Linked DNA regions of Saccharomyces cerevisiae S288C. The gene in region 1 interacts genetically with each later gene. Each region holds a gene or a part of one and is shown in the gene's direction. Other genes may lie near its edges. The genes, in order: OPI1, COP1, UPF3 and SDA1.

Region 1 (7,121 bases):
ATAGGGGTCAACTTTTCCATTGAAATCCTCCTTGGAATACATCCCTGAACAGACATCGTGATATTTTTGATTTATGCTTTCTTGGTTCCCTTGAACTACCCCACAGAGTAGCAACAGCCACGTCAGTAATAGCCACGTTCTATCCATTTTTCTGTTCGCTAGTTATTGTGTCTAGTTTGCCCAAAAATGATTTACACAATACAGTTGAAATTTCAATACCTTTTTTTTCAATTTTCAGTTTTTCCATGTTGCAATGCGAGAATGGGTATGGGTAGCAAAAATTTCTAGTAGTAAAATCGATAGGAAAAAAAAAATGGAAAGAGCAATAGCCTTTTAGACCTGCCCTGCCTTATCAAGTTGTCATCTCATCGATGTAGGAATCTATTCTCTTGGCCATCCGGACGTCTATATCGCTAAGCTGGCTGTGAGCCCCGTCTTTCGGGTCTATGTCATGCGTATGAAGTTCCAGCTTGACCCAGGTGTAACTTGTGTGAATCAGGGGATGGTGGCCCCATAGATGAGATCTCATCGATACACGAGTCAAAAAGGCCCATGTGGTTTCGTAGTCCTTGAATGTTACCTCTCTTGTTATTCCCAAACATTTGGTCTTATTAGGGTCCCATTGAACTTCCCAACGGGTCAAGGGTTTTAGCTTCTCGAGTAGTTTGCCCCCTGTGAGTGCACTGGACGCGATTCTAACAATCTTGTTGTGCATTGTATTCTTACTTTGGTTTCTTTCTGCTTTTGGTAGGTTGTGTTTACTGTTTTATAACTGGAAGGGCTTAAATTCCAGATTGGAAAATTGAGAATGCCTTGGACAAAAAGCAAATAAAGGGACCCAAAAATAGTAAAGAGGAAATCAGGAAGGAAAGGCATGTCGTCAAGCCTTTTTATCCTGGATGAAAATCTGGAGCCATTGGTATCGAAGAATATTAGAGCACTACCGAATCTATCGTCGGTTCTTTCAAGTTTCAAACAATGTTATCATGACGGGTCGCCTCCAATTCTCTCCCAAAACGATTGGTTCTTTATACATTTGAAGAGAGACTTTCTGCATTTCGTTTCAGTGATACATACCACAGACAAACCAAATATAGACTTAATGACTATACTAGCCTTTTTGGAACAATTTTATCATCTTTTACAAAAATATTTTGAAATCGAGGTCTTAACTAAGAATGTCATACTGGACAACATCTTACTTGTCCTGGAGTTGATTGATGAATGTATAGACTTTGGTATCGTACAAGTGACGGATCCAAGTATCATCAAGGACTACATTCGTGTGAAGGTCAACGTACCAAGAGTTACAGTAGACAATGAGGAGTGGAGCCCTGGTGAAGAGAGCAGTAGTAGTAGCGGTAGCGATAGCGATAGCGAGTACAGCAATACTAATAAGAGGAAGGATAAGAAGAAGAAAAGGAAGAAGAAAAAGGGCACTAAAGGGAAAAGCGTGGGCAAAAGTAAATTAAAAAGTATAATGGTAAACAATAAAGAAAATAGGGGCATAAACGTGGTGGAAACTGTCAAGGAGACACTAAGGAACAAGAATGATACCGGTAAAGAAGCCGCTAATGACGAGCTCCCCAATGACGGTAATGATTTATACATCAATGGCGATATTGCGAAGACGATTATAATGCCCATATCATGGAGAACAAAGGGGATACATTACGCCAAAAACGAGTTCTTTCTTGATGTTATTGAACGTGTTCAGTACTTGATGGATTTTGAAAAAGGAGTGATTAGGAAAAATCTGATACATGGAGAGATTGTGTGCAGATGCTATTTATCAGGGATGCCCAAACTGAAAATATCCATAAACAAGATACTGAACAGGGACCCCCAGTTCATGTCGAATTCCAGCTTTCATCAGTGTGTTTCACTAGATTCCATAAACACTATTGAAAAAGATGAAGAAAAGAATAGTGACGATGATGCTGGTTTGCAGGCCGCCACAGATGCAAGAGAAATCGAATTTATACCGCCGGATGGCGAATTTGTTCTTTGCCAATACGAGTTGAAGAGACATGTAAAGGATGCGCCGATGGTGAGGTTGAAAGATTTTGAAATCAAACCTAAACTGAAGAAGTTTAAAATCCAAATTGTAACCAAAATTCAAACAAATTTTAAACCCACCAACTCAACGTCGAAGCTAAACGTGAGAATTCCCCTGACAAAAGTCTTCCAGGAATATAAAATAGACCTCAGCAAGCAAATTAGATTCAAGGCAAACATCGGCAAGGTCGTGTTTAACTTGAGTGACGATTTTCTCCTCTGGGAGATACAAACCATGAAGGGGCACCGAGAACATAGCACAAACAAGAGCTCACAGTACAACAGCGACGAAGATGATCCAAATACGTGTGCATCCATGGTGGCAGAGTTCCCCCTCTTCAACCAGGAAGAATATGACCGCCTGCAAGAAGAAATGAAAACCTCAATGAATCCGCCGCCCTTGCGCACGGGACCCAGGCTGGAAGAACTATATAGACAAGTGCACGACCAACAAACTTCCCACGTTACTCCTCGAGATAAGTTGGTCAACATTGATTTCGAGATTCCGTACTGTACATGCAGTGGCCTGAAAGTTGAGTACTTGAAGGTCGAAGAGCCACAATTGCAGTACCAGTCTTTCCCCTGGGTCAGATACAAGACCGTCAGCGACGAAGAGTACGCATATATTGTTTGACGCTTACGCAGACATCTCATAGATAGACAAATGGTACGTTCGTTTTAGTATATAGATGGCACCTTATAATCTTCATATGCAACCGGGTAAAATCGGGCGTTCTTATTTTTTTTTTTTCCACCTCAATGAGAGGGATTAATAAGAGGATTGGAGCAAGACAGCGATCTGCACTTAGCCAAGAAAGCATATCAGGCCAGAACGTGGCATTTTGTTTACAGTGCTGATTAAAGCGTGTGTATCAGGACAGTGTTTTTAACGAAGATACTAGTCATTGATGTCTGAAAATCAACGTTTAGGATTATCAGAGGAAGAGGTAGAAGCGGCTGAAGTACTTGGGGTGTTGAAACAATCATGCAGACAGAAGTCGCAGCCTTCAGAGGACGTCTCACAAGCTGACAAAATGCCGGCAAGTGAGTCGTCTACGACGCCGCTAAACATTTTGGATCGCGTAAGTAACAAAATTATCAGTAACGTAGTGACATTCTACGATGAAATAAACACCAACAAGAGGCCACTGAAATCAATAGGGAGGCTGCTAGACGATGACGATGACGAGCATGATGATTACGACTACAACGACGATGAGTTCTTCACCAACAAGAGACAGAAGCTGTCGCGGGCGATTGCCAAGGGGAAGGACAACTTGAAAGAGTACAAGCTGAACATGTCCATCGAGTCTAAGAAGAGGCTTGTAACGTGCTTGCATCTTTTAAAGCTGGCCAATAAGCAGCTTTCCGATAAAATCTCGTGTTTACAGGACCTTGTTGAAAAGGAGCAGGTGCATCCTTTGCACAAGCAAGATGGAAATGCTAGGACGACCACTGGAGCTGGCGAGGACGAGACATCGTCAGACGAAGACGACGACGATGAGGAGTTTTTTGATGCCTCAGAGCAGGTCAACGCCAGCGAGCAGTCTATTGTGGTGAAAATGGAGGTGGTCGGCACAGTCAAGAAAGTCTACTCGCTGATATCGAAGTTCACAGCAAATTCGCTGCCGGAGCCCGCAAGATCTCAGGTTCGGGAAAGTCTTCTAAACTTACCCACAAATTGGTTCGACAGCGTCCACAGTACATCACTGCCGCATCATGCTTCGTTTCATTATGCCAACTGTGAAGAACAAAAAGTGGAGCAACAGCAACAGCAACAGCAACAGCAGCAGCAGCAGCAACTTTTGCAGCAGCAACTCCTGCAACAGCAACAGCAAAAAAGGAACAAGGATGGCGACGACTCAGCCTCGCCGTCCTCCTCCGTAACTGCGAATGGGAAAGTACTCATTCTCGCCAAAGAATCCCTGGAAATGGTGAGAAATGTCATGGGCGTAGTCGACTCCACGTTGGGCAAGGCTGAAGAATGGGTGAAGCAGAAACAGGAGGTAAAAGAAATGATCAGGGAGCGTTTCTTGCAACAGCAGCAACAGTACAGGCAGCAACAGCAGAAGGATGGCAATTACGTAAAGCCCTCTCAGGACAACGTGGATAGCAAGGACTAACCGAGACAGATTGAGGTCTTTCATGCATTACCACCAGTAATAATATTATACGGAATAATATAGTTTATATAATATCCATAATCATAATCATAATCATAATCATAATCATAATCGTGATATTGTACCAGCCCCGCTTCTCCCCTTTTGAACTACCATTATTATCGGACCCTCTTTACCTTTGAATGGCTCAGTAAGGACCTTTGCGCAGCCGTAAGGGGGTCGGGAATACATTTCCGGGGTTGATCCTCGAGGAAAAGTGCTATCTATATAAGGAGAAGCCCTTCTAGATCCAAATATCAGGGGTAACTCTTCACAACTGGCCAGGAACATATTCCAAGTTAAAAAGAAAAAATAATTATTAGAAACCAATTACCAACACAAGATGCTAAGATCAAATTTATGCAGAGGATCTCGAATCCTTGCAAGACTGACCACTACACCAAGGACATACACATCTGCGGCGACAGCTGCGGCTGCGAATCGGGGACATATCATCAAAACATACTTCAATAGAGATTCTACGACAATTACGTTCTCCATGGAGGAGTCCAGCAAGCCGGTTTCCGTTTGCTTTAACAACGTTTTTCTTAGAGATGCCTCCCATAGTGCCAAGCTGGTGACCACGGGAGAACTGTATCATAACGAGAAATTGACCGCTCCTCAGGACATTCAAATTTCTGAGGACGGAAAATCTCTAGTGGTGAAATGGAAAGATGGCGGTCATCACCAGTTCCCTTTACAATTCTTTATCGACTATAAAGGTTCCAGTTTTGTTTCGCCAGCAACAAGAAAACAAGAATCCAGATATAGACCCCAGTTATGGAATAAGCGCATCCTGAAAGATAACGTCAAGGACTTACTTTCTGTGAGCTACAACGAGTTTATTGATCCTAAGGATGACTCCAAGCTTTTCCAAACGCTGGTCAACCTACAAAAGTTTGGTATCGCTTTCATTTCCGGTACTCCTTCATCCTCCTCTGAAGGCCTTACCATACAAAAGATCTGTGAAAGGATCGGACCCATAAGATCGACTGTACATGGTGAAGGTACATTTGACGTGAATGCATCCCAAGCGACAAGTGTTAATGCCCATTATGCCAATAAAGACTTGCCGCTACATACGGATTTACCATTTTTAGAAAATGTGCCAGGTTTCCAGATTCTACAATCTCTACCTGCTACAGAAGGGGAAGATCCCAATACTAGACCCATGAATTACTTCGTGGACGCATTTTATGCTACCCGTAATGTTAGAGAATCGGATTTTGAGGCTTATGAGGCTTTACAAATTGTTCCTGTAAATTATATATATGAAAACGGCGATAAGAGGTACTACCAATCCAAACCTTTAATCGAACATCACGACATTAACGAGGACAATACTCTTCTGGGTAATTATGAGGCCTTGATTAAATGCATTAACTACTCTCCACCATACCAAGCACCTTTCACTTTCGGAATTTATGATAAGCCCTCAGATCTAAATAATAATCTGGACTTGAATTTAATTACCACCCCAGCAAAACTAACAGAGAGATTTTTGTTTAAGTCTTTCATTAGGGGGTTGAACTTGTTCGAGAGTCATATCAATGACTTCAACAATCAATTTAGATTGCAGTTGCCCGAAAACTGTTGTGTTATCTTTAACAACAGGAGAATTTTGCATGCTAACTCTTTAACAAGCTCAAACCAGCAATGGTTAAAGGGTTGCTATTTCGATTCTGATACTTTCAAGAGTAAATTAAAGTTCTTGGAAGAGAAGTTTCCTCATGACAAATAACTTCATTTTTTCAGCATAGTTATGTGATTCTTTATATTTATTTATTTTCTCTCTGTGTAGTGACAATTTTTTTTTTAATGTTTCATGTTAAATATATTTATTTTAAGAAGCCGTCAGTTTCCTTTTGTTTCATTGAAATCAATAACTAAAATTAAAATTATAAAAGGAATAACGTAAAAGAAAGTCTACTACCCAAGGAAAATCTACTTTATTTAGTGATTATATCCAACTAAATATCATTCAAATAACCTCACATATTTGTCTTCACCCTTAAGATTTTACGATTTACTAAGTTCACCTTCTCATGGCTTTGGAGGGATTGCGGAAAAAATATAAAACAAGGCAGGAATTGGTCAAAGCACTCACTCCTAAAAGACGGTCCATTCACTTGAACTCCAATGGTCACTCCAACGGAACTCCCTGTTCAAACGCAGATGTTTTGGCTCATATTAAGCATTTCCTGTCATTGGCGGCTAATTCATTAGAGCAACATCAACAGCCTATTTCAATCGTCTTTCAAAACAAAAAAAAAAAAGGCGATACAAGCAGTCCTGACATTCACACAACATTGGACTTCCCTTTGAATGGCCCGCATCTATGCACTCATCAGTTCAAGTTGAAAAGATGCGCAATCCTTTTAAACTTATTGAAAGTCGTTATGGAAAAATTACCGCTAGGTAAAAACACTACAGTGAGAGATATCTTCTACTCCAACGTGGAATTGTTTCAAAGACAAGCAAACGTAGTCCAGTGGCTGGACGTTATACGCTTTAATTTCAAGCTCTCTCCAAGAAAATCCTTAAACATTATACCAGCTCAAAAGGGTTTAGTTTATTCGCCTTTCCCCATTGATATTTATGACAATATTCTGACATGTGAAAATGAACCAAAGATGCAAAAGCAAACAATTTTCCCTGGTAAGCCCTGTCTAATTCCATTTTTCCAAGATGATGCGGTCATCAAGTTAGGGACAACAAGTATGTGTAATATTGTAATAGTGGAAAAAGAAGCTGTCTTCACCAAATTAGTAAATAATTATCACAAGTTGAGTACAAATACCATGCTCATTACAGGTAAGGGATTTCCAGATTTCTTGACAAGGTTATTCCTAAAAAAACTAGAACAATATTGCTCCAAATTGATATCGGACTGTTCTATAT
Region 2 (9,439 bases), on another chromosome or scaffold:
AGCTCCGGTCAAGATCACCACAGAAGTGGTACCATCACCGGCTTCCGAGTCCTGCGCGGCAGAAACCTCTACTAGCATTCTGGCCACCGGATGCAGAATGGCCATCTGTTTTAGAATGGTGTGGCCATCATTAGAGATGATGATTTCTCCACGAGATGTCTTAATCATCTTGTCCATACCCTTGGGACCCAATGAAGTACGGATGGCATCTGCAACAGAACGTGCAGCGATGATGTTGGCTTTGCGAACCTCTTGAGGTTTTTCCTTGTTCTTAAACGTGGCGTTAGATGGAACTTTAGCAGACATCGTTCTATACTCTCCTTTACCCGTCTTGCACACTTGCCGCACCTCCAATTACAATTCATAACCTTCATGCCCACTTAGCTATATCAACCTCTTGAACTGTATTCAATTAGCCTTTCTTGGTGGCGAAACGAAAAAAATTTCAGTTTCCCCGTGGCAAGTGATAGTAATACCAAATTATATAGCCTTAATTAGGACATATTGATATACCTCATAAACTACAGTCCCGGTGCCAGGATACAAGTTGGCATAAGCTAATGTCGAAAATGTCTAGAATACTAGTTATCGGGGCAGGTGGCGTTGGGGTCATTACTGCGCTTTCGTTGTGGCTTAAGAAGGAGAGCGACGTTTCCTTGGTAGTCAGATCTGACTACGATAGGGTATTGAAGCATGGCTACACAATCGAATCATGTGACTATGGCCGGTTAGAAGGTTGGAGACCCCACCATATTTACAGCAGCGTCGAGGACGCTGCTTCTGCCGCAGACAACCAAGGATACAACTATATTGTAGTGACTACCAAGAACATCATAGATGGGCCCGTTAATTCAAGGGTGTCCAACATCATCAGACCTGTGCTTGAGAAGAATAAAGAGCTACATGGGCCGCAATTGACGACACACATTTTACTGGTACAGAACGGAATCGATATTGAGAAGGAGATATGGGCGGAATTTCCCAGAGAGCAGTATCGTTACACGGTGCTTTCTGGCATCCAGTTAATCGGATCCACTAAGATCGGGTCAGGCCATATCAGTCAAGTGGGCCAGGACCACTTATCGTGTGGAGCTTTTGATCCACAGGACGCTGCTGCTATCCAGGCTGCCAACGACTTCGTCAGGATGTACAGCAACGAGGGGCAAAACTTTGTCGAATTTGACCCTAGGGTCCGTTACTCTCGGTGGAAGAAGTTGCTCTACAATGCAGCTATCAACACATCCACGGCACTTGTGGGGCTAGACGTTCCGCGTTGCCTGGAGTTTGGGGTTAACAAGAAGAGCACAGAAATTGAAGTGTTCCACCCTGCCATGAGGGAGATCATCGCCATTGCGGCGAGTGAAGGCATCATTATCGAAGAGGAGTTCATAACGATGTTTACAGAGATTACCAGGAAAAAGGTGTTCAAGCCATCCATGTGCGTGGACTGCGAGAAGGGCCAATTGATGGAGCTAGAAGTCATCCTAGGCAACCCCATAAGAATCGCGAAAAGAAACGGCGTCGCTACACCCACTCTTTCTATCTTATACAACCTACTTGTGCTAGTACAGGCCAAACTAAAGGAGCGGAAAGGCCTATTGAAGTTCGACGAAAAAACTGCCACTCTTGTGGACGAGTAGTTCCAACCATTGCTTGCCTCGTTGACGAGCCTTCATCTAGTATATTGTAACACATAATTTAGTATGTACTCTTAACTATTATTCTTATTGTCAGCATTTATACGACGTACAGAGCGACCGAAAATTTCGACAACACGAAACGAAATCGACAATTTGCCAACTTGAATAAATAACAGATCCGTCTTCGAGACTGTGACGATTGAGCCTCGATTCAGTAGCATACAGGGACCACAAACTTGTTTGAAGAGGCATTGCAATTAGGTAAATCATAGAATTGGCGAAACCAGCAGGATTTTCCAAACATTTGTTACTTACCCCCTTCTTTGCTTAAGATATAAAGTTTTTTCTTTTTATTTTATCTTCCCTTTACACTTTTGAATAAAAACATTATCATACCTGTTTACAAATTCGCGGTTTATTTAACCTGAAATCAGTATACTTTTTTTCTTCTGTAGTGTCTTTGTTCATTTCATTACTGGATCAAGATGAAGATGTTAACTAAATTTGAATCAAAGTCCACTAGGGCCAAGGGCATTGCCTTCCACCCCTCCAGACCTTGGGTTTTGGTGGCTTTGTTTTCCTCTACTATTCAATTATGGGATTACAGGATGGGAACACTACTTCACAGATTTGAAGACCACGAGGGCCCTGTTCGTGGGCTAGATTTCCATCCAACCCAACCGATTTTTGTTTCGGCAGGTGACGACTATACCATTAAAGTTTGGTCCTTAGATACTAACAAATGTCTATACACCTTAACTGGGCATTTGGATTATGTCCGTACCGTGTTTTTCCACCGTGAGCTGCCTTGGATCATATCTGCTTCTGATGACCAGACCATAAGAATCTGGAACTGGCAAAACCGTAAGGAAATTGCATGTTTGACCGGCCACAATCATTTTGTCATGTGTGCTCAATTTCATCCAACCGATGACCTGATCGTTTCCGCTTCTCTGGATGAAACCATCAGAATTTGGGATATTTCCGGTTTAAGGAAAAGACACTCCGCTCCTGGTACTAGTTCATTTGAGGAGCAAATGAGTGCACAACAAAATCTATTGGATGGCTCTCTTGGTGACTGTGTTGTCAAGTTTATTCTAGAGGGTCACACAAGAGGTGTCAACTGGGCCTCTTTCCATCCAACTTTACCATTGATTGTCTCCGGCAGTGACGACCGTCAAGTTAAATTATGGAGAATGAGTGCTACGAAAGCTTGGGAAGTTGATACTTGCAGAGGTCACACTAACAATGTTGATAGTGTTATCTTTCACCCACATCAAAACTTGATCATTTCTGTCGGTGAAGACAAAACGCTAAGGGTTTGGGATCTTGACAAGAGAACTCCAGTAAAGCAATTCAAAAGAGAAAACGATAGATTTTGGTTGATTGCAGCACATCCTCATATCAATCTATTTGGTGCAGCTCACGATTCTGGTATTATGGTTTTCAAGCTCGATCGCGAAAGACCATGCAGCTTTATCCATCAAAACCAGTTGTTTTTTGTCAATGCGGAAAAGCAAATCCAAAGTTTCAATTTCCAGAAAAGAGTCGCTTCATTACCTTATGCGTCCTTAAAGGGTATTGGTCAACCTTGGGATGCATTCAGAAGTATATCGTACAATCCCTCCCAACATTCAGTTTTGGTTAATGAAGCTAATGGCAAATTTGCTCTCGTTATTTTACCAAAACAACCAGTTGGAGCTGTGGAGCCAACAAGTGTCACCCAAGATACAGGTAATTTTGCTACTTTTGTTGGTCGTAATAGATTTGTTGTTTACAACAAGAACACTGAATCTGTTGAAGTTCGCTCTCTCGAAAACAAAGTTACAAGAAATATCAAAGTAGAGGAAACAGTAAGAACTATTGTAGCTGCAGGTCCTGGATCTGTTTTGGTCATACACCCCAGAGAAGTTATTCTTTATGATGTCCAACAGGGCAAAAAAGTATCCCAATTGGCTGTTAAAAACGTCAAGTACGTTTCGTGGTCCTTAGATGGTCAATATGTTGCATTGATGAGTAAGCACACCATAACTTTGGCTACCAAAAAGCTAGAATTGATTAATTCTATGCATGAAACGATTAGAATCAAAAGTGCCGCTTGGGATGAAACTGGTGTATTAATTTATTCAACTTTAAATCATATAAGGTACTCACTATTGAACGGGGATAGAGGTATTATTAAAACTTTGGAGAAAACTTTATATATCACAAAAGTTCAGGGAAAATTAGTGTACTGCTTGAACCGTGAAGGTGAGATTGAAATTTTAACCATTGATCCTACAGAATATCGCTTCAAAAAGGCCCTGGTTAACAAAAATTTCCCAGAAGTTTTACGTCTGATAAAAGATTCTAATTTGGTTGGCCAGAATATCATTTCCTATCTGCAGAAGTCAGGTTACCCAGAAATTGCTTTACAATTCGTTCAAGACCCACATATCCGTTTTGATTTAGCTTTGGAATACGGTAATTTGGATGTTGCCTTAGATGAAGCCAAAAAACTGAATGATTCTAGTACTTGGGAAAGATTAATCCAAGAAGCCTTGGCACAAGGTAATGCCAGCTTAGCTGAAATGATTTATCAAACTCAACATTCTTTTGACAAACTTTCCTTCCTGTATTTAGTTACAGGTGACGTTAACAAACTATCTAAAATGCAAAATATCGCTCAGACTCGTGAAGACTTTGGAAGTATGCTATTAAACACCTTTTACAACAATTCAACCAAGGAAAGATCTAGCATTTTTGCAGAGGGCGGCTCTTTACCATTAGCTTATGCCGTAGCAAAGGCTAACGGAGATGAAGCGGCTGCTTCTGCTTTCTTGGAGCAAGCTGAAGTTGATGAACAAGATGTTACTTTACCAGACCAGATGGATGCCTCCAACTTCGTTCAAAGACCAGTGATCTCAAAGCCACTTGAAAAATGGCCATTAAAAGAGGCTGAACTATCTTACTTTGAAAAGGCTGTTTTAGGTCAAATTGACGATTTGACTATAGACGATGAAACTCCAGCAGTAAACACCACTCAAGAGCAAGAAGAACCACTAGGCGAAGAAAACTTTAACGATGAGGATATTGGTGAAGACGAAGGTGCCTGGGATTTGGGTGACGAAGATTTGGATGTGGGAGAAGAGTTACCTGAAGAAGTTGAGCAAGGCGAAATTACCTCTCCAGCACAGGAAGTTGAAACAGCCATTTGGATCAAGAATTCTAAACTGCCTGCTGTCCTAGTTGCCGCTGGTGCCTTTGATGCCGCTGTTCAAGCCTTGAGCAAGCAAGTGGGTGTAGTCAAGCTGGAGCCATTGAAGAAATATTTTACCAACATTTATGAGGGTTGTAGAACATACATTCCTAGTACGCCCTGTGAACTTCCTGCTCAATTAGGTTATGTCAGAGCGTATGATGATACCGTAAGTGAAGATCAAATTCTTCCTTACGTGCCAGGTCTTGATGTCGTTAATGAAAAAATGAATGAGGGTTACAAAAACTTTAAACTAAACAAACCAGATATTGCAATCGAATGCTTCAGAGAAGCTATCTACCGTATTACGCTATTAATGGTCGATGATGCTGAAGATGAAAAATTAGCACACAAGATACTGGAAACTGCTAGGGAGTATATATTAGGTTTATCCATTGAATTGGAACGCCGCTCATTAAAGGAGGGAAATACTGTACGCATGCTTGAGCTAGCTGCATACTTTACAAAGGCAAAACTATCCCCAATTCATCGTACCAATGCTTTACAAGTGGCTATGTCCCAACATTTCAAACACAAAAATTTCTTACAGGCCTCATATTTTGCCGGTGAATTTTTAAAGATTATTTCTTCTGGTCCTCGTGCAGAACAAGCACGTAAAATCAAAAACAAAGCCGACTCAATGGCCAGTGACGCCATTCCAATTGACTTTGATCCTTATGCTAAATTCGATATTTGTGCAGCCACCTACAAACCAATTTATGAAGATACACCTTCCGTTTCTGACCCATTAACAGGTAGTAAATACGTTATCACGGAAAAAGATAAAATAGATAGAATTGCTATGATTTCTAAGATCGGTGCACCTGCATCCGGATTAAGAATACGTGTATAAATGCTATTTTGCCTATTGATTTTCTCGGGATTGTATTCTGCTCGACCTAAATTTCATGTGACAAGTCCTTTTAATCTAAACAATATGATAGTGAAAAAAAAAAACTGACTATGTAATTAACAGTTATATACAACTTCTAAAATAAAAAATATCGCCTATTTTAACAAGTGACACACAACCTGAAATTCTGCCAGCATGTATTCGGAAGCAACCCGAACTTTAGTTTTATAGTTACGATTGTTGCATTTGTATATAAAAAGTACAATGTGTCATTAGATACTGCAGTGAGTAGAAGAAGAAATGGTCGGAAGAACCACATTAATGCAAGAAGAAATAATGCTTTACTTATTTTGGAGTTCCACATTTTCTTGATGGAGGAGGAGGAGGAGGCGGAGGCGGAGCTTTAGCCTTTCTTTTAGTCAAAGATTCTGCAGAAACATCTAATTCACGATTACTATAAAGATGGCCTTTACGAGCCAAGATATTTTGATTGTCGGGCGTCCCCAATGCAACAATGCTAGAGTTTCTACTAGTGTTATTACTAGAGACCGATGAACCTCCATCTGAAGGCGTTGAAGGTGTCTCTAACCAAGGAATTTGTTGAAGACACTTCCGAGATAAGGCCACTGTAACTTGATGCTCGTGCAACGCTGGACTGTCAACGCATATATTATCTAAAGTCGACAAGTAGTTTAATAGTTTATTCAAATCATCCTTTCTATAATGTGTTTTGGATAATTGTGTATTCTTTAATAGCGGAATCAGAACCCTTAGAAGGGTGTTTCTCAATACCTCTTCATCCTCACTGATATTCTGTAGTTCTCTGATTAATACATCGATAAGAACACGTAAGTCGTTTGTATAAAAGAAATTCATCGGAGAGTAGTCTCCTCTTGGTGTCAAGATAAGATAAATAATTTTGCACATCATAATTTGTAACGGAGGGTCCGATGCCCTATTGAATTTCAGTAATAATAGCTCCGTAAAACATCTTGAGACAGACCCATTGATCAAATACTTATAGACCTTGTTCTCAATGTCGTACTCCTTGGCAAACATCATATATTGTTCGTTCAACGCCAACAGCAGTTTAAACTCCGCGTTATTGAACATATCGTCCATAGTGTCGGACCTCATTGATTCCATCATATAGTAAACAAAAAAGTCATCCACAATTTGAAGATTAGCAATAACACACTTACAGTACTTCATAATTTGAAATAACAAATCCATCAAAACAGTTGAAATTTGCTTCATTTCGTCTATAATACCCAAATCAATATCAGTCAAACTTCGGTCTAAACTGTCCAAGGATGTACCTGTGCTAGAATTATTAGAATTGTATTGATGTTTAGAAGCAACTGTCCTTTCCTTTCCGTATTTGCTCAAATAGGCGAATTGTGTGTACAAGGTATTATAAAACACAGTAAATCCTTGGAACTTGAGCATGATTTCTAAGGAGTACACGTTTTTTTTCGCCTCACAGAGAAGAATGTAAACAATAATGAACTTCATATTCATTTCCAGTAGGTCTATGTTGAGTAACGACTGCAACTTACTTAGGCAAAACTCTTTTTTAAATTCAAATAAGGACGATTCTAACAGTATTAGCGACATCCGGTAGAGGTCACGATCAGTATTAATAAAAACCTTATAGGAATCAGTAGCAAACTTCAGGTAGGCAACCAGGCTTGAGTTAACATGGGATTCATCCAAGTTTTCCTTTGGTATGTTAGCAATAGACTCAGTTTTTTCCCAAAACTCAATTATTTCATCTTGAGTATGATTTTCAATATTTGGAGATAATGGATCTAATATCATGAGTCAAAATGAAAGGAAAAATGTTCGAAGAAAGTATAGGCTAAAGTGACATAAGTTAATCGAAAAAAAAATATTCAAAGTTTAATTCTTGTTTACTAAATGAAAAAAATATTTCACTGTTTAAAGATATGTCTATAGGTGTAGTAATTAATGTTCAGAGTTTTGCTAATCAAACGAAAAAATGACTCTTTACGCTGCTATTAATGTCATTTAAATACCATAAACAGTTTACCGTTTTGACTTTTCACTTTTTTTTTGGGTGTCTTCTTTCCCCTGAAAAATTGAAAAACTAAAATTCCATTAATTGTCACCTTATGTTTTGTGTAAGCAAGTGAAGAGAATGAGAGCAATACGTGGCCATTTTCCATTTGAGTTATATATATGCATAGATAATTTTATCTCACGTACGTAAATACACATTTCGATTAGTAACAGATTTAAAATCAAAACCGGATCTGAGATAATCCGACACTTACTCGAAAATCTCTTCATTTAGCTTGCAAACCGTGCATGATTTCCTCTTTTGTAATTAAATGGCCTATTGTTTCTATATGTTCTAATAGTTCGTCAACATTATGTGACCATTCGTTCAATAATTGGCTTGAGTTTTTTGGTTTTTCAAAATTCACGATTTTGGCTGGGCGATTAACTTTAGCGTATATGATGCCCTGGTTTACCAAATCACTGATGTATGTTTCCGTCTGGCTCTCCGTTAGGTCCAGCAATTCATTCAATCTTAGTAAAGTAATTCTGGAATAGTATTCGGAAATGACTCTTAAATTGTGCTCGATGACCCTTTTTTGTAAATCTTCCCAGTGATGCTTATTAGCTTCTCCACCAAATGCCAAATCATCCTCATTTAAGACGGGCTCATAGGTTTTTTGAACAATTGGCCATCTCATCAACTCATTCGTAGTAAACAATTTTACTAAAGATTCTTGGCTTTCTAATTTTTTCAGGTTGTTATCATTCTGGATTTTGTGAATTAAATCATTTTGTAAATTGCCGTAAGGTGAAAGGACTAAGAAATATACAATGTGCGATAAAACAGGTTTCCACTTAGCCTCATCTGATTTAATGGCGTCTGTTTGATAAATTTCTTGCAGATACTGCGCAACTTCTAGGTATTCTCTCTTGTGCAAACTAATTTTTACCAGAAGATTATAATATTCTAGCTTCAATGACTCGTATTTTGGATTTTTAAAAGTTTTTTTCAGAATTTTTCTTGAAAGCACCGTGGCTTGGGAATAATCACCTTTTAATATACTCAATTCCATTTGCTCTAATATAAACTGAATTTTCTCAGACATTTCCATGGAGCCATAGGTCTCAACCTGTAACTCACACAAGATGTCTGCAGCTTCATCAATCTTACCCTCTTCTTTCTTAATTTCCACCAAATCTTTGGTGACCCTAGCTCTTTCCACTTCTACAAATATTTTGTTCTCTGTAACCACCCTGATAGTTTCAATGACACTAATTCTGGTGTTTAAATCCAAAGATTTCGAGCTTTTCAAATATTCCATAACCTTTTGTATCATATACTGAATTGACAATTTCAACTGACCATGCTTTTTTGAGAGTAGAGTCAATTGCTCATTTAGGTCGTCCCACTTATTCCTTGATGCTAGCAGATCTACAATCTTGGCCAAAACTTCTTTCGAGGAGGCCAGATCTGAAGCTTGTCTGGTTTTCTTCTCCAACACTAACAGTTGGTCTAAAGCAGAGTTACAATCATTTTGAGCGAGCGAATCGATCTTAGGAAACTCTTCCTTCAAAATTTGGCTATAATCCTTGTCAGCCTTAATTGGTGCATCTCTTGACATCTTTCTCTACGTTTACTCTAGCAACAAAAATGGTAGTGAGCCCAGCAGTATATTCCTCTAC
Region 3 (7,163 bases), on another chromosome or scaffold:
GACCGCCCATATTAATACCTTAAAACTTATTTCTTGAACCTATACATCTAAATTTAAGTAATATTATTTTATTTGTATAACCATATGTAGTTTACCTGAAATATATGGGTGCCATTAAGAAAATATAATACAATGGACAAGAATTTTGTCCTAGAAAATAAAGTCTTGAAAGTATATTGTCCTTTCCTTTGGAATATTATGTCACTAGCAAGCATCGAAAATTGATCCAGAGTGAAAATTAATTTTTTCGAGATTAAACTGTGAATTCAAAAGTTTGATTTTAATTGTTTCCTCACTCAACTTGGTACTGAAGTCTTGATTAGCTGTTAGAGAAGATAATTCTGACCGTATTGAAGATGTCGAATTTACTGAAAGCAACTGAAGTAAAATATCGATTACTTCAATCTTGTTTTTACTGCTTATGTAATTATTCCAAATTGAATCCGAGATAGGAATATGAATATCAAATGTCTCTTCCATGGGATTTAGGCACCATTCCCCCGAGTTAGAGTCGTTTTCCTCAGATAACTCATGTTTTGTAAAGTGAGATCCATCGAAGCTAATATCATTATCATTTAAGTAGTCATGGTATGCATTAGGCAGCTCATGCGCAATTCTGTTGACATAGCGTAATAGATCATCCCGAATGATTTGGACAAGTAATGAATCTTCTGTTAGTGGTGCGGTTAACTTGGTGTTACATAAAAGCTCTACGTCCCGTGATTCTTTCATAAAAATGGCCTCGTAGTCAGAAAGAAGATTATTACCGGAATTCCGACCGCTCTCCCCACCACTATTAGAGGAACGAAAATTAGTTATATTGATAAAGTTTTTAAGATACCTTAGAACAATTTTGGTCATGTTATGAACTATTTTATTTACCGATGTTGTGCCAAAGATTTCATTTAGAAGGCTTTTACTTTGGAAGATTGATGGATACAGGAAAGCACCAATCAAGTTTACATCATCAAGTAAATAAAGGTCTTTAACTTTTAGAAGCCTTGCTAGGATTTTTTCAAAGGGCTTTTTAGATTTGGTGAATTTGAAGCTTCGTATAATCTCTGTCAAATATAACTCAAACTTAATGATAAAAACCAAGGTATGGGTAAATTTCAATGGAGCGGAAGAAGCAAAGTACTCAATTGATTGCTCGAAAGTTCTTAACGTCTCTTCTACCGTGTTTATTAGACGAAAATCGGATTCACTAAGTGATTCATTTTCTAAATGAGAGTTGATAGACTTGAAGAAAGGAACTAAGTTTGCAAATTTTTCTAAGATACTCTTCAAAGCTGAAAATCTATCGCAGTTACAGGAAAGGATTGAAGTAAGTTCATTGCAGTTAGGTTGTGTATAATTTTGGCAGTATAATAGGAAATCCGATTTTAGGGAGTCGTTTAAGTTAACTTCTTCTATCAAACAGCATATTTTGCCGAGAATAGTAGATGATAAATCAATATGGGAAAAATCTATTAATGAGTCTAACAAAGAGCCTCCTGAATGATTTTCTTTGGCCACAGAAAAGGAAGACAGCATTGATTCAGTAGGAACATTAAACAACGGCTGTAAAAAACAATGAAGTAATTCAGATACTATGCAAGTATGGTACTTTATCTCCCTCACACTCCCGCTATGGAAAGTAAAATTATGACTGTTTCTATTCTCTAGTACCATTGTATAATGGCTTTGAGGCAAAGTTATAGAAATCACCGATTTTTGTAAGCCAGGGTATTTCGAATACAAATTGTTGAGCTGTTCCTGCCAGACACTAATATCTATATCCGTTGTTTTACGTACAAAAATAGATAATGGTAAACCCTTCGAAACTTTGTTGGTATTATCGAACAGTTGCAAAGAAAATAATGATCTTTTTCCAGCCAGTTCTGTAAAATTTACAGAAATAAGATGGGATAAGTCCAAGTTAGACAATTGTGCCCGAATTTCCCTAGAATATTTCAAGTAAAGAGGTTGATTTGATTCCTTACTATCGGATAAATGGATAGTAAAGGGTAATTGTGTATCATTCCTTGATATAGACCTTCTGATCAACTCATCAATTGATTTTGACAACCCTATAATTGACTCCTCTATTATATTGGTAGTTAAAGGAGGGATCCTATGAAATTTTGATAAAAGAGATTTAAAGGACACATTCTCAAAGAAGTTCAGCGGTAAATTTTCTGAGGCTATGACTATGGCTACTAATTGGGAAATAGAAAGGTAATTACTGCTCTGTAATTTTCCTATGTCAAAGCATTTGAAACTTTGGTCGGAATTGAAGGTTAACGAATCATAGCCGTGTCTACGTGTAATTTCTGTGCTGGAAGTATTGTTTTTGAGATTGGAGTCTCCTACTGTGAAATTCATGGAATAGAAGTTTTTATTGGCACTTATATTATGCTTTGTTTTCAAGTGAGATCTAAAGGTTTTTGTCAAACTTGCATCGCTTCTTGTTAGTATCTCTCCACAATGTTTACATTTAACTTTCGTTAATTTCTTTTCAATTGCTAGAAAATGGGACCAGAACTTTGCTATATTCTTCTTGAGCATTTGAACCGGAATCCATATATTTAACCCATCATTTATGATTTCGTCTTCCGGATGAATTCTACTTGATAGGATTTTATTGCCGTCTTTTTCTATAAGTTCTATATCCTCAGTATCGTCTTCTTCCTCGTCTTCCTCCTCATGACTAGTAGAGTGAGAAGATGAATGATCAGAATTATTGATGATTTCGTTATCTTCTAAAGTCACCAAATCCCCATGTAAATCATCCAATGCAGTGTTCATATTAATGATTGAGTAGATTGGTACATATGCTATTTCGGAAGACTTTTGTTATTCTATGGTTTATCATCCCTTTATTTATTTTGTGTATTGTTTGCTGATCAAAAGTTGAAAATTTTTCGCCTAAAAAGTAAGATACAAAAGAAAATATTGTCGATGATTATTGCATGAATATATCAGCAAAGAGGAAAGGAAAACCTACTGAGGGACTTACATTTCTGCTGAAATATATAGTAATCTATCATGAGCAATGTGGCTGGGGAATTGAAGAATAGTGAGGGGAAAAAGAAAGGCAGGGGAAATAGGTATCATAACAAGAACAGAGGAAAAAGTAAGAATGAGACGGTAGATCCTAAAAAGAATGAGAATAAGGTTAATAATGCTACTAATGCTACCCACAACAATAGCAAAGGCAGAAGGAATAACAAGAAAAGGAACAGAGAGTATTATAACTATAAAAGAAAGGCTAGATTGGGTAAATCAACCGAGAATGAAGGATTTAAGCTTGTTATTAGATTGCTACCTCCAAATTTGACTGCAGATGAATTTTTTGCCATCTTACGAGATAATAATAACGATGATGGTGATAAGCAAGATATCCAGGGTAAACTCAAGTACAGTGACTGGTGTTTTTTTGAAGGTCATTATTCTAGTAAAGTATTCAAAAACTCGACATATTCTCGGTGCAATTTCTTGTTCGACAACTTATCAGACTTGGAAAAATGCGCAAATTTCATTAAAACTTGTAAATTCATTGATAATAAGGATAATATTACAATTCCAGATATGAAACTGTCGCCCTACGTAAAGAAATTCACTCAAACATCAAAAAAGGATGCCGCGCTAGTAGGAACAATTGAAGAAGACGAAATTTTTAAAACATTTATGAATTCAATGAAACAGCTGAATGAAAATGACGAGTACTCATTCCAAGATTTTAGCGTATTGAAATCTTTAGAAAAAGAATTCTCAAAAAGCATAGAGTTAGAAAATAAAATAGCAGAAAGAACAGAAAGGGTGTTAACAGAGCTGGTTGGAACTGGTGATAAGGTCAAGAATAAGAACAAAAAGAAGAAAAATAAAAACGCCAAAAAGAAATTCAAAGAAGAGGAAGCATCCGCTAAGATACCAAAGAAAAAACGGAACAGAGGCAAGAAGAAGCGTGAAAATCGTGAAAAAAGCACCATTTCTAAGACCAAGAACAGTAATGTGGTTATTATTGAGGAAGCGGGTAAAGAGGTTTTGAAACAAAGGAAGAAGAAAATGCTTTTGCAAGAGAAGTTAAAAATATCAAACTCCTCTCAGCCTCAGTCATCATCCGCTCAAACCCAGCCGTCGTTCCAACCTAAAGAAAACCTTTTCGTACCACGGGTAAAAATTTTGCATCGTGATGATACCAAGAAGTAGTAAAAGCTCATGGCTTCTTATATATTATATATGGAATACATTTATAATAAAATAATAAGAATTATATATTTTATGATTATATTATTACATAAAGTATTCCCCATTATAAATTCTGAGTTTCGTATTTAATGATTTTTCAATGAATATTTAAAATAATAAAATATATGAAATGTTCATATACAATGAAATTGTCATGAAGAAAGATGACTCCAAGTATCGTTTATAAATCGTCGAGAAAAAGATTATGAAGTTGGTTAACTTTTTAAAAAAGCTGCGCAATGAGCAGGTTACCATAGAACTAAAAAACGGTACCACCGTTTGGGGTACACTGCAGTCGGTATCACCACAAATGAATGCTATCTTAACTGACGTGAAGTTGACCCTACCACAACCCCGACTAAATAAATTGAACAGTAATGGTATTGCGATGGCTAGTCTGTACTTGACTGGAGGACAGCAACCTACTGCAAGTGACAACATAGCAAGTTTGCAATACATAAACATTAGAGGCAATACCATAAGACAGATAATCTTACCTGATTCCTTGAACCTGGATTCACTTTTGGTTGACCAAAAGCAACTTAATTCCCTAAGAAGATCGGGTCAAATTGCAAATGACCCCAGCAAAAAGAGAAGGCGCGATTTTGGTGCACCAGCGAATAAAAGGCCAAGAAGAGGTCTATGATTCGCTGCTGGTGTCGTTGTCATCTTCACTGTCACCATTACTTTCGCTTTCGCTAGAACTACTCTCTTCATCAGAGTTGTATATTTTATTCCATTGACATTTCCCTAATGGAATACCCCAGATATGGTCCTGTGTGGCCAACCAATCGACTAATTCATCAATGTGTATTATACAAAGTTCTTCGTTATAGGAGTGAGCAAAGCAGTCTACTTGTAGTGGGAAACTTTTTAGTTTGAAATAATGCTGTGAATATTTGTATAATTGTACTTTAAATAACTTTATCAAATCATTTTCATCATCATCGTTTTTGTTATTGCCATTCAAATAATAATACTGTAACCGCGCATAAACCAGAAGCAAAGCAATAATATATTTCGAGTCAAAACCGTTCTCATTTTTTACATTCAATAAGAAGTTCAACTGCTGGAAATTCGGTCTGATTTCGATTAACTTCATTAAGATGCATTTAAACTCAATGCCACCGAGAACCATCATGTGTAAATGACCATTTTGACCTTTTATGGTACCAAATGCGCCAATCATAACTTTCAAAAGCTCTACCATTGTATTGCCTCTCAAAGATTCGTTGCTTAGATTTACTTTATAGTACATTGAATTATGAATTTTATCTCTTGTCAACCGAGGAATAACAAGTGACACTGACTGGTTATTCAGTTGTTTTGGAGAGATGTTAGACTCCACTTGAAATTCATTGACAGCCATTGTAGTCCTTGTTCTTTACCCACGTTTTGTTTTTGTTCTTGCGTTTTTACTGCCACTGAAAATATAGCGTTGTAATGGCTTTAGATTTTACTTTTTTTTATCATAATTCTTGTTCAGAACGTTCGTTATTGATATCACAAAATTATTTACATGATTAGACATTAAAAACATAAAACAGTACACATAGGGTTTACTATTCTAAACTATAGTTATCTTCTCTCTTATTCTTCAGAACCAGCCTATACTTTGGTTTTTTTTCATTTTTTCTACTCTCTTGGCATACTTCGAACCCTTCTTGGAAGCAATCAACTCATCTACCTTCTTTAAAGCTTCTTCACGTTTTTTTAGCTTTTCGTTTAATTTCAATTCATGCTTATGACCCTTGGGCAAGAGAACACCTTTCATGAGGGTCTTTTTATTGTATTTCTCCTCGAAGAAAAGTTTCTTAGTGTTTTCGATCGGTGGTAAAAACTCTTCTACTCCATAACGCAGTGCCAACTTATATACGTCACTCATTCTTCTAAGTGAATATTTCGGATCATGAAATCGTTGTGTGACCGGATGTTTATTTGGCAGGAAAGGATTGGCATTAATGGCTTTAGTAGATGTAGACACTGGAGAATACTTGATTGAAGGGGGGTATCTTTGGAAAAAGGACTTCAATTTCAAAGGCAAACTATCAAAATACTGTTTGTATGACATGGAGTTTAGTTTAATGCACTAGTTGGTTTTCCTATTCTGTATAAATGGTTCACTTTATTTCGTATTTCACTTGCTCTTCCACTTTCACTTGTATCCCAGTCATTTTTTTTTTTTGTTTGAGAAAAAAGGAATATAAAAAGGCGCTACTATAAAGTACTTAATGATACTATAATTTAGAAGATTGACTTGATAAGACCGTTGTGTACCACCAGTCGATGGCTAGGGAGGATTCTAGACTCGAAACCATTTCCCACAATTGTTGAAGTAGCTTTTTGTTATGTGTATTGATTAGCTGGAGACAGATGTTCAACCAGCCGATCAAATGATGAGGATTGTTGATAAAGGCTATTTGTACAATCAGACATTCAATCAATACATTCTTCTTTTCTGGGTTTTTTACATTAACAATTCTGATATACGTCTCGTGCAAAGAGTCCCTAAGCAAATGCTTGTTATAATTATGTAGTGAGGGAAGTTGTGTGGATAGATGGCCGAATATAAGTAAAATTTGATTTGCGGACAATTTACCTGCAATAAATTGGTCCATCGACATCTTTAAATAGACGAGTATGCGGGATACTTGCCATTGTGCAACCTGTGAGGAATAAGAGGAGTCTATAGACAGTACAGTGATTGTCAATGTGTGTATAGATTCTTTGATTTCAATATCCAAGGTATTGCCCGTCTTCCCGCTAAAAAATACATCGAAATGCAGTAAAGGTTCGATAAACTCAGTAATAAACGGCAAACGAATGCGACACCCATAGTAATTAGTAATTTTGTTTAGAAAATTGATGTAAAACACTAATTTATTTGGATCTTGTTTGGTGTTGTTTCTTTTCATTAGTTCCAAAACTGTAGT
Region 4 (8,409 bases), on another chromosome or scaffold:
GTGGTTGTGGATTATTTGATGAATGGCATTCTTTGTTTGGAAAACTGCTGCGATAAGACTACGTTCTTCGTCATTTCTTAAATATTATGGATCTTACAATTTTCGCTGCTTAGGGGGGGATTTTTTTAATTTTCAAGGGATTTCCATCCCTTGCGAAGGCAAGCGATCAGTATACGTAAATCTCTAACTAGAACATTTTCAAGTATTGACAGATATGAAAAAAAAAAAAAAAAAAAAAATTCTATATAATTACTTACAGTGCACATAAATGTATGCTTAAACGTCCACCCGTCCCAATACCTCCCATTCTTGAACGGGCCCCACACAGTTGACCACTTTAAACGTTCCTGGGATATTCCAAGATAGCGATGAAGATACGTCAAAATCCCATCTCATTTGCACTTCATTGGACCCATCAGCGTTTCCGGAACCCTTACGTTTCTCTCTTGGAACTAGTTGCACGTCTAGAGCATCTTCAATTCTTTGTTGAACTACTCGCAATGACGCCTGACTTACCGGATGAATATCCGAATAAAGCAATGAGACGTGAGGATGGAATTCCTCGTGCACCCAAGTGGCGGCACGGCTACTTCGCGTCTCAGGATCGATCTCTACGTACATCTCTCTCATGACTTGTGCGACCCCATAAAGTATTTTGTTCTTGTTACACTCGAGCACAATTTTCTTGAAATATTGTTTACCTACACTGCATCCATTGAAAGATACCAAAGGAGCTGCAACAGCATGGGATACCTGTCCCTTACGTCCTTTCTTTGCTGTTTGGTGTGACCTTATCGATTGGATGGCAGCAACACAGGAGGTCAAGATTTTGTTGACATCATCTTTACTATTGCACACCAAATGGGACGTTACCGTCACATGAGGTTCAAAAACTGGTGAATCTGGGAACAACGTTTGAAACGAAAATATAAGCATCTGTAATGTCTCGTAAGCAACTGATCCTTGTGGTGGACAATACCATAATGCTATTGCCATTTTTCTGTGGTTACTGATATTAGCAAATTGAAGTATCGCGAATTCCCAAACTAGAATAATTACAATTGATGGTAAAATAAAATGATAAAATAATCTGATTAGATTCTTGGTATCTCAAAAGTGACTTTGATAACTTCTTGATTGTTTGTGCCCCTGCTTACGAATTGGGTTCTTATTAAACTTCACCTGCATCGCTTCTCCATCGGATCTAACCTAAAAAAAATAAAAACCCCCCGGTAAGCACTTGATCACGCCTACAAAATCACTTAGTGAACAAAGGAAAATAGATTGTTTTTAAAGTTGTGAAGTAGTGAACTATGGCTTCCCACATACACATATATACTGATACAGATGCAATATAACATTTAGTGTTAGAAAAATTTGCTTCTATCTTGATGACATTGAATACTCTTGGACGTAAAAAAAGACATCCGATTAAAGTGGAGGTAATCTACAAGAAAAGTTGTTCTTCCCCTCATTAGAAATCTTGCAATGGTCACGGCCGTCGCTATCAAAAATCAACGAAGTGAAGTGACTCTAATTTTTGTCTATTAATGTTGCGATGGCCTTATTTGCTATTCTAAGGTTTTCGCGAAGTATCAGGTATGATAAAAAAAATCATATTTTTGATCGCATCAAGAACAATCCCAATGGTAAAAACGGTAATAAAAAAGAGTCCATAGTCATATACCAATGCCAGTGTGTAAGAACTGTCACGGAACCGAATTTGAGAGAGATCTTTCCAATGCTAACAACGATTTAGTTTGTAAAGCTTGTGGTGTTGTCTCAGAAGATAATCCTATCGTCTCTGAAGTTACATTCGGTGAAACAAGTGCAGGTGCTGCTGTAGTACAAGGTTCTTTTATCGGTGCAGGACAAAGTCATGCTGCATTTGGTGGTTCTAGTGCTCTAGAATCTAGAGAAGCCACATTGAACAATGCAAGAAGGAAATTACGCGCCGTTTCTTACGCATTACATATCCCGGAATATATCACAGATGCTGCTTTCCAATGGTATAAGCTTGCATTGGCTAATAACTTTGTACAAGGTCGTAGGTCCCAAAATGTTATCGCTTCATGTCTTTACGTTGCATGTAGAAAGGAAAAGACGCATCATATGCTGATCGACTTCTCTTCAAGGTTACAGGTGAGTGTGTATTCCATAGGAGCCACATTTTTGAAAATGGTAAAGAAATTACATATCACAGAATTGCCGTTAGCGGATCCTTCCTTATTCATTCAACATTTTGCCGAAAAATTGGATCTTGCTGACAAGAAGATCAAAGTGGTAAAAGATGCCGTAAAATTGGCTCAAAGAATGTCCAAGGACTGGATGTTTGAAGGACGTAGACCTGCAGGTATTGCCGGCGCATGTATTCTACTAGCTTGCAGGATGAATAATTTGAGAAGAACTCATACAGAGATCGTCGCAGTTTCACATGTCGCCGAGGAAACTTTACAGCAACGGTTGAACGAATTCAAAAATACAAAGGCTGCTAAACTTTCAGTTCAAAAATTTAGAGAAAATGATGTGGAAGACGGTGAGGCTAGGCCTCCCTCCTTTGTGAAGAACAGAAAGAAAGAAAGAAAAATAAAGGACTCTTTAGACAAAGAAGAGATGTTTCAAACAAGTGAAGAAGCATTGAATAAAAATCCAATTTTGACGCAAGTATTAGGAGAACAAGAACTGTCTTCCAAGGAAGTCCTGTTTTACTTAAAACAATTTTCAGAAAGAAGGGCCCGTGTTGTGGAGAGGATTAAGGCTACTAATGGTATAGATGGTGAAAATATATACCATGAAGGTTCTGAAAACGAAACAAGGAAACGCAAACTTTCTGAAGTTTCTATCCAGAACGAGCATGTTGAAGGGGAAGACAAAGAGACGGAAGGGACTGAGGAAAAAGTCAAGAAGGTAAAGACAAAAACATCAGAAGAAAAGAAAGAGAACGAATCTGGGCATTTTCAAGATGCCATTGATGGTTACTCTCTAGAAACAGACCCATATTGTCCTCGCAATTTACACTTGTTACCCACAACGGACACATACCTTTCGAAAGTTAGTGACGACCCAGATAATTTAGAAGATGTTGATGATGAGGAGTTAAACGCGCACCTATTAAACGAGGAAGCTTCTAAATTGAAGGAAAGAATTTGGATTGGTCTGAACGCAGATTTCTTACTTGAACAAGAGAGTAAACGTTTGAAACAGGAGGCAGATATTGCCACAGGTAACACATCAGTGAAAAAAAAACGTACGAGACGTAGGAATAATACTAGAAGTGACGAACCTACAAAAACTGTGGATGCAGCAGCAGCTATCGGATTGATGTCAGACTTACAAGATAAGTCTGGTTTACACGCTGCATTGAAGGCAGCTGAGGAAAGTGGTGATTTCACAACTGCTGATAGTGTCAAGAACATGTTGCAGAAGGCAAGTTTCTCCAAGAAGATTAATTACGACGCCATTGACGGTTTGTTTAGGTAACGTTTAGGTAATCAACCCTAGGAAGGAAAAAGGGAACGGAAATAAAGACGCAATACATTTGGTTTTGGCTAAAATATATAGAACATGAAGTGCAAAAGAATTAAAGGTGCATTAACTATTTAATATGTATGTGATTATATAAATCTAAAATCTCAATGTCGTAACAATCACTGTTCCATTAAAAAAACGGGTAAGGTGGAAATTTCAGTTTTTTTTTTTTTTCTTTTCTTTTGCTTGATCGGCTAAAAAATGAAAATTTTAAACTCATCTCATCGCAGATAACCATAACACGCTTAACAGATAGAACGTTCTACCACTAAAAAAACATATCAAACGTCACTTTTTTGAATAAGTAATAATAGTTAAGGAGGAAGCACAAGACGCACTGAATATACCAATCAAGGGCATCAACAATGGGTAGAAGAAGTAGAGCAGCTATGCTCCCAACAAATATCATTCTTTTACAGAATTTGGTAAAGCGTGACCCAGAGTCCTATCAAGAGGAGTTTCTTCAACAATATGCACATTATGAATCGCTAAGGGACATTTTTATGTTAAATGGGCTTGCTGGAGGTGATTCTGCAGCTGCCACTAATGGGCTCGATGTAGGAAATGGATCTTCTACAATGGCAGGTACTAACGGTACCACCATGAGCACTTCAACTTCGCAACTTATTGAATTGGTTGGCTTCGTATCTCAAGTCTGCTCATGTTTTCCTCGTGAAACTGCAAACTTCCCGTCTGAATTAAAGCAGCTTTTGCTGGAACACCATAAGTCCTTGCCATTTGAATTGAAAGAAAAAATCTTAAGTTGTTTGACGATGTTAAGGAATAAGGACGTCATTACTGCTGAGGAATTAATTCAAAGCTTATTTCCTTTATTGGTTGCTTACTCTTCCCATGGTAATTCACTCGGCGTTAATTCACACGCCAAGGAATTGAGGAAAATCATTTATACAAATTTAATTTCTTTATTAAAAAGTTGTAATACTAATGGTAAAAATCAAAAATTGAACAAATCTACGCAGGCCGTTTGCTTTAATTTGTTAGATCAACCAGATTCCCAGGGAATCTGGGCCACAAAATTAACCAGAGAACTTTGGAGACGTGGTATTTGGGATGATTCAAGAACAGTAGAAATTATGACCCAAGCAGCATTACATCAGGATGTTAAGATTGTCATGTCTGGTGTGATGTTTTTTTTGGATGCTGACAGAGAACGTGAAGAAAATTTTGAAGAAAATTCCGAGGATGAGGATGGGTTTGATTTAGATGCATTAAGGCATAAGATGCAAGTCAATAAAAAAACGGGTAGACGTGGTAAGAAGCTGGAGAATGCCATAAAAACTGTGAAGAAGAAGAAGAAGAACGGACCGGGTGCTCCTCAAGGGTATTTAAACTTCAGTGCTATCCACCTTTTGAGAGATCCACAAGGATTTGCCGAAAAATTGTTTAAGGAACATCTTTCAGGCAAAACGAAAAACAAATTTGACATGGAACAAAAAATATCTTTGATGCAGCTGTTATCAAGGTTGATTGGTACCCATAAGTTAATTGTTTTAGGAATTTATACTTTTTTTTTAAAGTACTTAACTCCGAAACAAAGAGATGTTACAAGAATTATGTCCGCATGTGCCCAAGCATGTCATGATCTTGTCCCTCCTGAAGTTATAAATGTCATGGTGAGAAAGATTGCAGACGAGTTTGTATCAGACGGTGTTGCCAATGAAGTCGCTGCTGCAGGCATTAATACCATTAGAGAAATATGCTCTCGTGCACCTTTGGCTATCGATGAGATTCTACTACAGGATCTGGTAGAATATAAGGGGTCTAAAGCTAAAGGTGTCAATATGGCTGCCAAGTCATTGATAGCGTTGTATAGAGACGTGGCACCAGAAATGCTAAAGAAGAAGGATCGTGGTAAGAATGCCGCCATGGAAGTACAAGAAGCCAAGAAAGGAGGTAAAGATTCAAAAAGACCGCAATTTGGTGCCGACAACAGTGTTCAAGGGATTGCTGGTATCGAACTGTTAGCCAAATGGAAGAAAGAACATGGTGAAGAGAGTGAAAATGAAGACGCTGATGCCAACTGGGAAGTAGATGTCGATAGCGAAGAAGACGATGTCGACGGTGAGTGGGTCACCATGGATAGTGATAAAGAATATGACGTTGATATGGAAGATAGTGACGATGAAAAAGACAATGCTAAGGGCAAGGAATCAGATTCCGATTTGGAACTAAGCGATGATGACGATGAAAAAGAAGTGAAGGATGAGCAAGAAGATGCAGATATAGATCCCGAAGCTGCCTTCCGTGAAATTGCTTCTACACGTATTTTAACTCCGGCAGATTTCGCTAAACTACAAGAATTGCGTAATGAGGAAAGCGTTGCTAAAATAATGGGTATCCACAAACAAGACAAGCGTGAAGAGTTAGTTGATGCAAGTACACTAACAGGCCCTATCAAATACAAACAGTCTCGTGAGGAAAGATTACAAAAGGTGTTGGAAGGTCGTGAAGGTAGAGACAAATTTGGTAGTAGACGCGGTAAGCGTGACAACATGCGTTCTACTACCAACAGAGAAAAAGAAAGAAGGAAGAACTTTGTTATGTCTATTCACAAGAGATCTGTTAGAGGTAAACAAAAAATGTCACTACGAGACAAGCAAAAAGTGTTACGTGCACACATCACCAAACAAAAGAAGAAGGGGTATTAGACGACATCGTAGCCATATTAATATATACATACATATACACAGATACATTCATCTCTCCAACTGTATGAGGACTTCTCTACCTTGAATGGAACACCAAAGCCAGGTAGATACTAAAAAAAACTCTTTTTATGTCTTGGTACAGAGAAAAATGCTCCAACTGGTATCGATTATGTGTTCATCGGGAATTCTCGGCTTTTCCCCGCAGCGGCGGAGTGAGTATTCTAAAAGTTGGTTGGCCTTTCAATTGCCGCGTAGTCAACATCTTTGAGGTTTTATATAAGATCGACGTTTTCCTTATCAGCACTTTGACGTTTTCTCTCGAAAAATAACAGTGACTATAGAGCGATAGTCCAGTTTTTTTGTAACTGACTTTTAGGTAGTTAGGATTAATAAGGATTGAGTCAATACAATCGAAAAAAATACTGAAGCATTGCAACTGAACAAAATGTACTCAAGAAAATCCTTATCCCTAATTTCAAAGTGTGGGCAATTAAGCAGGCTAAACGCGCAAGCTGCTTTACAAGCAAGGAGACACTTGTCAATTCATGAATACAGGTCAGCTCAGTTATTGAGGGAATACGGTATTGGTACTCCAGAAGGATTTCCAGCGTTCACTCCCGAAGAGGCTTTCGAAGCAGCCAAGAAATTAAACACTAACAAACTGGTCATCAAGGCGCAGGCATTGACCGGAGGTAGAGGTAAAGGTCACTTCGACACCGGTTACAAAAGCGGTGTTCACATGATCGAAAGTCCTCAGCAGGCAGAGGATGTTGCAAAAGAAATGCTCAATCATAACCTGATTACTAAACAGACGGGAATAGCGGGGAAGCCAGTATCTGCTGTATATATAGTGAAAAGAGTAGATACAAAGCATGAAGCTTATTTATCTATTCTAATGGACAGACAAACCAAGAAACCGATGATCATTGCGTCCAGTCAAGGTGGTATGAATATTGAAGAGGTGGCTGAGAGAACCCCAGATGCTATAAAGAAATTTTCAATTGAAACTTCAAAGGGATTGAGCCCACAAATGGCCAAGGATGTTGCCAAGAGTCTCGGTTTCAGTCCCGATGCACAAGACGAGGCAGCAAAAGCTGTTTCCAATTTGTATAAAATATTCATGGAAAGGGATGCTACACAAGTGGAGATTAACCCTTTGAGTGAAATTGAACATGATCCAACCCACAAAATCATGTGTACAGACGCCAAATTTGGGTTTGATGATAACGCATCATTCAGACAGGAAAAGATATATTCCTGGAGGGACTTATCACAAGAAGATCCTGATGAAGTTAAGGCAAAGAAGTATGATTTGAATTTTGTTAAGTTGAAGGGTAACATTGGATGTTTAGTCAATGGTGCTGGTTTGGCTATGGCTACTATGGATGTCATCAAATTAAATGGAGGCGATCCTGCGAACTTTTTGGATTGTGGTGGTGGTGCCACCCCTGAGACCATCAAACAAGGTTTCGAATTGATCTTATCCAATAAGAACGTAGATGCAATTTTCGTCAATATTTTCGGCGGTATCGTAAGATGTGACTATGTTGCCCTGGGGCTGGTAGAAGCCGCCAGAGAACTAGAAGTTAGGGTCCCCATTGTGGCACGTTTGCAAGGTACCAAAGTAGAAGAAGGCCGCGACATTATCAATAAGTCAGGCGTGAAGATTTATTCGTTTGATGAATTAGATCCTGCTGCTAAAAAGGTCGTTGAATTGACCCAAAATTAAGCTTCTCGAGAAAAACAAAAGAGTTAATAATAAAGTATATATGCTTTTTTACTATTAATAAAGTTTCTTATTTTCCCTACATGTATACATACATATAAATATACTCTTTTGGAAAAAATTTCTTTTTTTTTTTTTTAATTTTTTTATATTTTTCCATCTTTTGATGTAATATAGAGGTTATATAATGAAAGAATATATAAGAGGTCATAAAAAATCATTAAAAAAATGCGAGTTCAGGAACATATTATCGTTTACGTAATCAGTGCGTTATTGGCGGATTAGTACCGATCACACCTTTGTTCATCGATGTGGATGCAGTTTGCTTTGCTGCGACGGCTGCAGGAGTCTCCCCTTTTATTATGTAGTGAATAACCTGTTTAAAAGAATCACCGTTCCGTATCCTAAAGTTAGCAATTCTTGTTAGATGGTAGCCTGCAGTGCAACCCAGGAAAAAATTGACGGAAGCTAACAGATAGTTCTTGG

The links.
Region 2: mutations in OPI1 (region 1) and COP1 together harm fitness more than expected from each alone (negative genetic interaction), as found in Saccharomyces cerevisiae (3 studies listed by BioGRID).
Region 3: mutations in OPI1 (region 1) and UPF3 together harm fitness more than expected from each alone (negative genetic interaction), as found in Saccharomyces cerevisiae (2 studies listed by BioGRID).
Region 4: mutations in OPI1 (region 1) and SDA1 together harm fitness more than expected from each alone (negative genetic interaction), as found in Saccharomyces cerevisiae (2 studies listed by BioGRID).

Annotation. Positions count from the first base shown.
Region 1 is NC_001140.6:63,302-70,422, reverse strand, and holds OPI1 (transcriptional regulator OPI1), read left to right. Parts: upstream 1-2,966; coding exon 2,967-4,181; downstream 4,182-7,121. Other genes in the region: YHL017W (uncharacterized protein), read right to left, coding at 1-147; MCO14 (4a-hydroxytetrahydrobiopterin dehydratase), read right to left, coding at 353-715; APM2 (Apm2p), read left to right, coding at 875-2,692; AIM17 (Aim17p), read left to right, coding at 4,564-5,961; SPO11 (DNA topoisomerase (ATP-hydrolyzing)), read left to right, coding at 6,266-7,121. UniProt on the Saccharomyces cerevisiae protein: Negative regulator of the transcriptional complex INO2-INO4 in response to phospholipid precursor availability.
Region 2 is NC_001136.10:190,863-200,301, reverse strand, and holds COP1 (coatomer subunit alpha), read left to right. Parts: upstream 1-2,125; coding exon 2,126-5,731; downstream 5,732-9,439. Other genes in the region: chaperonin-containing T-complex subunit CCT4, read right to left, coding at 1-306; YDL144C (uncharacterized protein), read left to right, coding at 570-1,640; LDB17 (Ldb17p), read right to left, coding at 6,077-7,552; proteasome regulatory particle lid subunit RPN5, read right to left, coding at 8,041-9,378. UniProt on the Saccharomyces cerevisiae protein: The coatomer is a cytosolic protein complex that binds to dilysine motifs and reversibly associates with Golgi non-clathrin-coated vesicles, which further mediate biosynthetic protein transport from the ER, via the Golgi up to the trans Golgi network.
Region 3 is NC_001139.9:631,277-638,439, forward strand, and holds UPF3 (Upf3p), read left to right. Parts: upstream 1-3,027; coding exon 3,028-4,191; downstream 4,192-7,163. Other genes in the region: ENV11 (Env11p), read right to left, coding at 205-2,787; mRNA splicing protein SMD1, read left to right, coding at 4,436-4,876; U4/U6-U5 snRNP complex subunit PRP38, read right to left, coding at 4,871-5,599; mitochondrial 54S ribosomal protein mL59 MRPL25, read right to left, coding at 5,828-6,301; PEX8 (Pex8p), read right to left, coding at 6,468-7,163. UniProt on the Saccharomyces cerevisiae protein: Involved in nonsense-mediated decay of mRNAs containing premature stop codons.
Region 4 is NC_001139.9:977,553-985,961, reverse strand, and holds SDA1 (Sda1p), read left to right. Parts: upstream 1-3,893; coding exon 3,894-6,197; downstream 6,198-8,409. Other genes in the region: CPD1 (2',3'-cyclic-nucleotide 3'-phosphodiesterase), read right to left, coding at 277-996; transcription factor TFIIIB subunit BRF1, read left to right, coding at 1,690-3,480; LSC2 (succinate--CoA ligase (GDP-forming) subunit beta), read left to right, coding at 6,643-7,926; MPC3 (mitochondrial pyruvate carrier), read right to left, coding at 8,186-8,409.